Linked DNA regions of Oryzias latipes. The protein of the gene in region 1 interacts with the protein of each later gene in a pairwise test. Links are inferred from orthologs where the notes say so. Each region holds a gene or a part of one and is shown in the gene's direction. Other genes may lie near its edges.

Region 1 (4,208 bases):
ATAAAGGTTAACCCAAAGACTGGGGTGAAGGAATAACCCGAGTGTTTTAACCCTTGTGCTATCCAAGGCACGTTAACGTTGGGAGTGGGGTCATCTGGACCCCACAAGATGGCCCATGGGTTAAGGGTGCAGTGATTCCAACGGAACCTAAAACCAATAAGTTCTGATTTACGGTCATGATGCCTGCTCACACCGTCCTCCTGTAGAGATTAACACGTTTGACGTCTCGGTTCCTCCCTCAGACTCTGGGGAGTCCACCTCCACCCTCCCCCAGTTCCCCATGTCCTCTCCGTCTTCTCGCTCCGCCCGCTCGGTGGACTACAGCGAGGACCACGGCGTGCCCAAGCCCTGCCAGCGCTTGCCCCTCTACGTGGACTTCGAGGAGATCGGCTGGTCGGGCTGGATTGTGTCGCCGAGGGGCTACAACGCCTACCACTGCAAAGGCTCCTGCCCGTTCCCTCTGGGTCAGAACATGAGGCCCACCAACCACGCCACCGTCCAGTCCATCATCAACGCCCTGAAGCTGGTCCGAGGCATCGAGACGCCGTGCTGTGTGCCGGACAAACTGCACTCCATCAACCTGCTGTACTTTGATGATGACGAGAACGTGGTGCTGAAGCAGTACAACGACATGGTGGCTGGGAGCTGCGGCTGCCACTGACCATGAGCGCGCACGTGCACACGCACACAGCCAGCATCACTCTGAGGCCGCACTAACAGGCAAACCTGAGCAAAGATTGTAAAATATGTAAATATTCATAAATATTAATATATGTTTATGACAGATGTGTTATTTACACAAATGTAAATGTGTATATTGTGTTTTCTGCTGAGTGGGATTGTAGTTTGAATAAAGGTCAAATGACAGAATGTTTTTTTTGTTATTTTAAAAAATCCGCTCAAATGATAAACATGATAAACTTTAAACAATTTAAAAAATGCATTAGTAAACTGAATTATGATTCATACCATGTACAAAAGTATTATTCATTCAGGTGAATAATTGTTGGGAGCCTGCTGTTGCCAGGTTCCCCCAGCAGAGGGCGCCGCTGTGCTCTGAGAGGACAGAGCCAGTCAGTCACCTGGTGCAGGTGAGGAGGTCAAAGTTACCTTCAGAGGGGCAGGTGAAGCTGTCTGAATAAAAAGTTTAAAGACATTTTTTAAATTTACTTTGACTAAAAGTTTTTCTTTGCAATAAAGTTGAATAGAAAGTGAATCTGAACCGTCGTCTCGGTGACTTTTGACCTCTTGTCAGCCGAACTTCAGCAGAACCGCGTTCTTGATTCACAAGCACACCCATCAGACAAACACACTTAGGACGCTCATTGAGTTTCCCTCTGTGTGTGTGTGTGGGGGGGTTCAGGTCAGGTCTCCGCGTCCCTCAAACATTCGCCGTTTGCATTGATCAGATGCAATAAACCGTTTCTCTGCAAAAAGTCGTCCCAGCAGGCCGTCAGAGAGGATGGTAACCTGATCGGGGAGCGAGGCGTTGGCCGTGCCGTGGCACTAAAGGGTTGAAACCACTTGGCACGGTGCTCGACGACAGCCCTCATTCACTGCCACACGGGCTCCTATTCAGCACACAGAACCATAAACTGCTGCCATTATAGTGGCAACCAAAGGGCCCGGCTGCGACCCGACACCCGATCTCCTCTTTGGCTCCGGCCTCCTTTTGTGCCAGGATTTCATATCTGAACTGCCCTCCATAAAAAGCCCTCCAGGCTGCAGCCATGGACCTGCTGCTCCAGGATGGGAAGTAAGCAGAGCATCTTCACGGCACAGCAGCTGGATGCCTACCAGGTGGGTGGAACACCTCCTGAAGACTTCCTCGTGTCTTTGAAGACCTCCTCAGCGTTGTCATTAAACAACTTCAGGACATTCAGGACATAGAAGTTCTGGATTCTGGATCCTGCAGGTTCTCTGAACATCAGATTTGACTCATCAGGAATTATTCTGCTCCTGTTTCATTCCAGACTGTTTGACAACAGGACCCGACAGAATAGAATAGAGTACATTCAATGGTGCGTTAGCATCATCAGAATAAAAACAACAATAGAAGCAGATTAAAGCCAGTATACATATGCGTACATGTGGGCGTGTCCCGGCGTCTCAAACGCTGAACACCTTAGGAAGGTAAACCACCACAAAAACAAATCTGAACTGTGCTGCTGATGACTCCAACCTAACTTTAGCAGCAGGAAGGTTGAAGATGATGAGAAATAAATGTTTGATGAAGACGTTCAGGGCTGCAGGGTCTGTGGGGTCTGCTAACCTGTCCTGGTCTCTCAGCAGGACTGCACATATTTCACCAGGAAAGAGATTCTCAGGTGAGCCTTCACATGTCTGCATCTTATTTCTGTTGGTTTTGTCTTGAATGCTGTAACTTTTAAACACCATCCTGCTATTGAGACTGTTTTTTGTCTTCAAATCAGCTTCACTGGCTGTCCTTTCAAAATACAAGTCTGGAAACATTTATTTTGAAATTCTTTCTATGTTCTCTCTAGATTGTTCTACCGGTACCGGGATCTGGCCCCACAGCTCGTTCCTCTCGACTACACCAAGGAGCCAGATGTGAAGCTACCATATGAGCTGATTGGCAGCATGCCCGAGCTGAAGGTAGAGCCGCCGCCGCCGCTCTGCCACCCCCCGCCCGCCCCCGTCCCCATCCCCATCCATAATGCACGAGCAGCTAATCGACAGAATTCTTTGAAAGGTTATCCGTTACATGACTCCCTTAAACTTGAAGAATGCCGGTGGGTTCCAGAGGGCAGGTCAGTTGTGCAGCTCTCAGGTAAAGTCAGGTGAACAGGTGTGGCCGCTCAGAGTCCAGAGACCCAACCTCCATCCGAGCCTTTCCGTCCTTCGACCTGTGAAACGCTTTGTTAACCAGACCGTCTCTGGTGTCGGTTCGGTCCAGGACAACCCGTTTCGTCAGAGGATTGCGGAGGTTTTCTCTGAGGATGGAGAAGGAAACATGTCGCTGGACGACTTCCTGGACATGTTCTCCGTTCTCAGCGAGATGGCGCCTCGGGACCTGAAGGCCTACTACGCTTTCAAGATCTACGGTAAAGACTTTTCTGACGCTCGTCTGGAGACGTCCCTTCAAACCTCTTCCAGATTCTTTTGGTTTTCAGTTGAACATTAGGGGCAAATTTAACGGATTCAGACCTGAAAACCACCAAGTACGGCCCCTAAAGCCGGATCAGGTGTGTCCAGGTGATCAGCTGCCAGTGGGGCATTAATGCAGACCCCCGAGGCCTCGGGGGTCTGCATTAATGCCCCACTGGCAGCTGATCACCTGGATCAGGTATGTCCAGAACATATCTGAATGTTTTAGCGGCTCGTTTCTGACCCCAAAGCTATGAAACAAACGTTTGATTCTTCCCCAAAGACTTCAACAACGACGACTTCCTCTGCAAGTCGGACCTGGAGAAGACGCTGACCAAGCTGACCCGCGGCGAGCTGGGCGAGGACGAGGTGAAGATGGTGTGCGAGAAGGTGATGGACGAGGCGGACCTGGACAACGACGGCCGCCTCTCGTTGGAGGACTTCCAGCACATGATCGTCAGGGCTCCAGACTTCCTCAGGTGAGCTCAGGCGTCGTGTGGATCGACGCTGCTCCATTAAAGCCTGTTCTGATCCGGTTCTGGTCTCTCCACAGCACCTTCCACATTCGGATCTGAGGAGCCAGAACGTTTGTCTGAAAACTGTTTTTCACCATCTGGTCTGTAGAAAGTAGTCGTCCCAAACCCTGACCCGCCGCCGGACGGAGCCGCGGTCCATCGGCCGTCCCACCAGGACCCGGCTCATTAATTATGACGATCGGCAGCAGATTCCTTTCATATCTGAAGGGGTTTGGTTACACAAATATAAAGAAGCAGCAGCGCACAATGCAGCGCCGAGGGGAGGGCCGCTGGTCATCGGAGCAGCTCCTGGGGGGCAAACGAGGGCCGACGTCCATTCAATGAAAACAACGCTCACAGCTTTCATCTTCTTCTTTTAATAAAGCAAAAGTACACGTCTGTACAGAGCGTAGATCCATTCTAGACGGGTTGAGACAGAACATGGTGTGTTGGGACATATTTACAGTCTCTGACCCAAACTCTCCTCGTGTTACACAGAAGCAAAGCAGATGATCATGTTCAGTCTATGAAGCAATGACACGCGTGTGGAGATATGTTCACAATGGGGACGCATGGATGTTGGAA
Region 2 (4,019 bases), on another chromosome or scaffold:
GGCATTCATGTCTAGTCATTTTAAAGAAAAACAGGTGAGATGCAGAGCTATTAGTTGATATCAAGGATGCCCGTCTGTAAGAATTCTGTGGTGTTTTGTTTTGGTCATGTTTTTTGGTTTTCTTTTTGTCAGTCACTCCAGTTTCAGGTTCATGATCCACAGCTGTCTTCAGTTCAGTTAATAACCCTCAGCCTATTTAAGTGTCTTTGTTTCTATTCATCCTTGTCAGTTCATCTACTCTGTTGTGTCACTGTTTTGTTTCTCCCAATAGTTTTGTCATGTTTCAATTAGTTTATTAAATATTTTATTTTCTGTCACCAAGCCAGGGGGGTATTCCAGGAAGCATGTTTAAACTACCCTGACTTTAACCCTGAACTCTGGCTGAAATCCGCCTGAACTTGCTTACTCTGGGTATGTCGGTTCCAAAAGACCCGATATGAGTTAGTGTAATTACGCTCGACTTGGTAACCCCGGCTTAATGCACGTGCTCGTCAAGTTCATAAGGACATTCTCAATGGATCGCCGATTTCCGGAGTCACCATGGAAACGCGTGGAGAAAAAAGAGAGCGCTATACTTCAGTGAGACGGCGTATGAAGATTATAAGACCATCAAAAAAGTAACACGGCTGCATCCTCAAAAGAGTTTCTGCTCATAGAAAAAGAACAGACAAAGTAAACGCACGAGTTTCTGATCTTATTTCCATTTTCCTTGTGACGCATATATATATATATATATATATATATATATATATATATATAAAACCTTTTTCCAATTTTGCCACCTTAAATGAATTACTTCTATTGATAACAAATGATTGAGTTAAATGTATTCAACCTAATTTCTTACGTCTATAAAACTCAATAATTGTTTATACAACTCTAATTTACATATTTATCTAACTAAATGTCTTATTACTCCAATTCAATTAATATTTTTTCCATCTTAATGAATTACAATTCTATCTATCTTTCTATATATACTTTAAAAAGGCCCAAGTAAAGTACAGATTCGTAGGAATGTAATGATTCATTAGTTTGTGAGTAAAAATAAACAAGTATTGTAAATAAAAAATGTGCGCGAACGTTTGTTTCACAACATTGAAAGTACGTGACGCTTGGACCTTCCGCTTGCCGTAGATGGCTTTGCCTCCGATTGATAGGTCTTGTTGCTACGCTGACGCTCCCCTTAGTTACCTTCTCAACCAATCAGATCGCCAGTCGGCAACAACAGCGGAAGGAAGGAAAGAGCCGTGTCCGCGTGCGTTAGTTTAACACTAATTACTGCTATAAAAGACATTTCCATGTGAGTATTACAACTCGGAGGTACTACTTATGTGTTGAGGTCTTTACTTATTCAAATTTAAAGTAACTGGCGTTAATTGCATAGAGGCTGGCAACTTTTCTCTCATGTTACCATAGAAGGTTTTGCGTGTTTATAAACATATATCAGGTTAATTTATTTCAGATTTTTTTTAATATGACAAAAAATGTTATCCTGTGGGTCTGTGTTTAACTCAAAAGGCGACATGGGTATTTAAAACTAAAGAGGGTTTAGGCTGTGATGAGTTTTGACAGCTTTAGCATCTGTTGTGAGTTAATTATTGCTTCTCTGCTGCTGCAGTGCTCTTTGCCATAAAACAAGAGACTCTCTCGGCTGTTTTTGTTCTTTTTTTTTTTTTTTTTTTTTTTTTTACGAGAACATGATGAATAAACGCTGGAAAACAAGTTACTAAGTTACTTAATTTGTCAAAGCAGTCAGTCCTGATCAGCAGAAACTTCTGGACCAGATCTGGCAGATTAAGGTGGCATACAATGGCACCAGCTACATTATATTATGATGGACGAGCTGTGGGTCTACTTTTTTGCCTTTTTAATGTTTTTCTGCCTTTGATGTGTAAGACTCCAACTATCCTGCAGATCAACCATAAAGTTTTTATTTATATACATTTTTAATAAACCAAGAATAACCTCATAAATAACATTTTAACATTAAAAAGCAGACGTAGTGCTAAGCACCCACGCTCCCTCTGTTATAAAAGTTAACTCTGGGTTTTTGTGACTGAAGAGTGCACGATTTTTGTTGTCAGTTTGAGTGTTGGAAATGTAGTTAACGTAATTTTAGTGATTGTGATTTCTGTTAATAGGGTGATGATCATAAAACGACCTTTTTTCAAGTGTTATTGGGGATTTTAACCTGAAGCTTGCATCATCCTCCCACATTGTTCTCATGCTACACTGCCCCGTTAAGGTAAGTTAGTCTCAATTTAGCCGGTAAATTCTATTTTTTAAGGAAAATAGACCACTTGAGATAAAAACTTTTTAGGCCTGAGTGCAGTTTTCCATGTCTGTTTAAAGGTAAACTTACCATAAAGATCAGTGCCCAGTGTATTTTGTAAGTGCTAACCGAGTCTGCGGTTATTCTGGTTTATTTCTTTAAAAGGGTAACATGGGTGGAAGAAATCTGTAACTCTTTCCTTTTCAGATGTTTTTTTTTTTAAACTATTTGATAAAATACAGGAGATTTTTACTGTCAGTTAATGTAGACAGTTAAAATGGAACAGAGTATTTTCTGATGATGTCACTTAAAAAATATAAAAAATAAACGGAAAAGTATTATGTAGGTCTGTCTAAAGAAATATCTGTTGCTTTAGATTTAATGAACAGCAAATGATTAATATTATTTCTAATATTAAGATGCAGCAAAAATAGTTTTGTTAGTTTTGTGACATGCTTATGCAGCATTACTTCTGTTTCTAGCAAACTTTTTAATGCATTAAGTCAAAATATTCGGTCATTAGTATTAGTAGTGTTAGTATTATTAATTATTGGTAGTGGTTTTTTTTCTTTCAATGTTATTTTGGACCTGGCAAGCTGAACACAGTTCACTGAAGGTTTGTATTTGGCTGCTAAGTTTCTAACAGGGAGCAGGTGCCTTTTCCAAAGACAAGTGTGGTTTAATGTAGGATTGTATTTACACTGAAAAGCCAATAATTGAATCCAGACATTTATTAATTGTTCTGTCTGTCTTCCAAATTTTTTCTCACAAGGATTTCTATTTAGAAAGACACCAGCGATGAGCTACAAACTACAACTTGGATAAATTGCATGAGTGAAGTCTGTGTCCAATGCCCTGACAATATATTCTACATAAACTTTCTCAACTCTAAGAAACTTTGGCTTTCATGTTAAAAAGTTTTGTTTCTGTGTACTGGTAATTAACGTTCTATTGTTGTGTAATATGTTTGCTTAAGACAAGGTTTTTGTTTCAAATAAATCTTGTTTGTCTTTTTGTTCAGGTATTTTTAATCTGGGCCAAAAATGGCACGAGTGATTATTCCAAAGCTCAAAGCATACATAAAGTTGACATTTTGAAACTTTTCTGGGTCAGCCTCGGACCACTTTTGAGCTAGCAGCTGTTTTAGTGCTGGCCCTTGTGGGGGCCATCTCTGGCACTCAAGCTCTGAGCCACCAAAGGGCCTTTATTCATTTTAAAATGTGAGCCAGGTGTAAGTGCATTATTTCTACTAGAGCTGGACCAGACCCATTTGACTGTTAGTGTAGCTCCAGTTCAGCTTGAGCAGCACAGAGGGCGGTTGTGCTTGTCAATAAACATCAGCAAACACATGCTTTTAGGACTTTACTGTATATCATTTATGCATTTTCAGATTGAATTGACTTTCCTTTTTGTAAATACAAATGCTAGGAACACAAAACTGGAACCATACTGTGCGATCATAGAGCAGGCATAAAACTCTGCAGTTGTTCCTGTGCTGATTATTATATTGGGTTTCTCTGATCGCCAGATGCTGTTTTTGGTTTAGCATCATGCTGTTAAAAGTAGAGGCCAATGGGAGACCTGTGCCCTCCTTCAAACAAAAAGGTAAGCAAAATGCTACTGACATACATCCAACATGCAAGTTTGTATTTTCTCTCTTTTTCTCATTTAGCCAAAGCTGAATATTCTAGTTCCCTATGCTACCTCAGTTGCTTTGTTGCTACAGTTTGACATGAAAATTCCG

Evidence for each region. The genes of interacting proteins can lie anywhere in the genome.
Region 2: the proteins of cib3 (region 1) and enox2 interact in binary tests that used the Homo sapiens proteins (3 or more experiments, as listed by UniProt). The two-hybrid records come from large-scale screens. The link is inferred for Oryzias latipes from reciprocal best matches to the Homo sapiens genes CIB3 and ENOX2.

What each region holds. Positions count from the first base shown.
Region 1 is NC_019875.2:30,516,009-30,520,216, reverse strand, and holds the start of cib3 (calcium and integrin-binding family member 3), read left to right. Parts: upstream 1-1,408; 5' UTR 1,409-1,749; coding exon 1,750-1,800; intron 1,801-2,292; coding exon 2,293-2,327; intron 2,328-2,504; coding exon 2,505-2,616; intron 2,617-2,917; coding exon 2,918-3,065; intron 3,066-3,391; coding exon 3,392-3,591; 3' UTR 3,592-4,208. Other genes in the region: bone morphogenetic protein 2-like, read left to right, coding at 243-661. UniProt on the Homo sapiens protein: Acts a an auxiliary subunit of the sensory mechanoelectrical transduction (MET) channel in hair cells. Plays a role in regulating hair cell MET channel localization and function.
Region 2 is NC_019868.2:7,970,251-7,974,269, forward strand, and holds the start of enox2 (ecto-NOX disulfide-thiol exchanger 2), read left to right. Parts: upstream 1-1,212; 5' UTR 1,213-1,303; intron 1,304-2,144; 5' UTR 2,145-2,248; intron 2,249-3,803; 5' UTR 3,804-3,880; intron 3,881-4,019. UniProt on the Homo sapiens protein: May be involved in cell growth. Probably acts as a terminal oxidase of plasma electron transport from cytosolic NAD(P)H via hydroquinones to acceptors at the cell surface.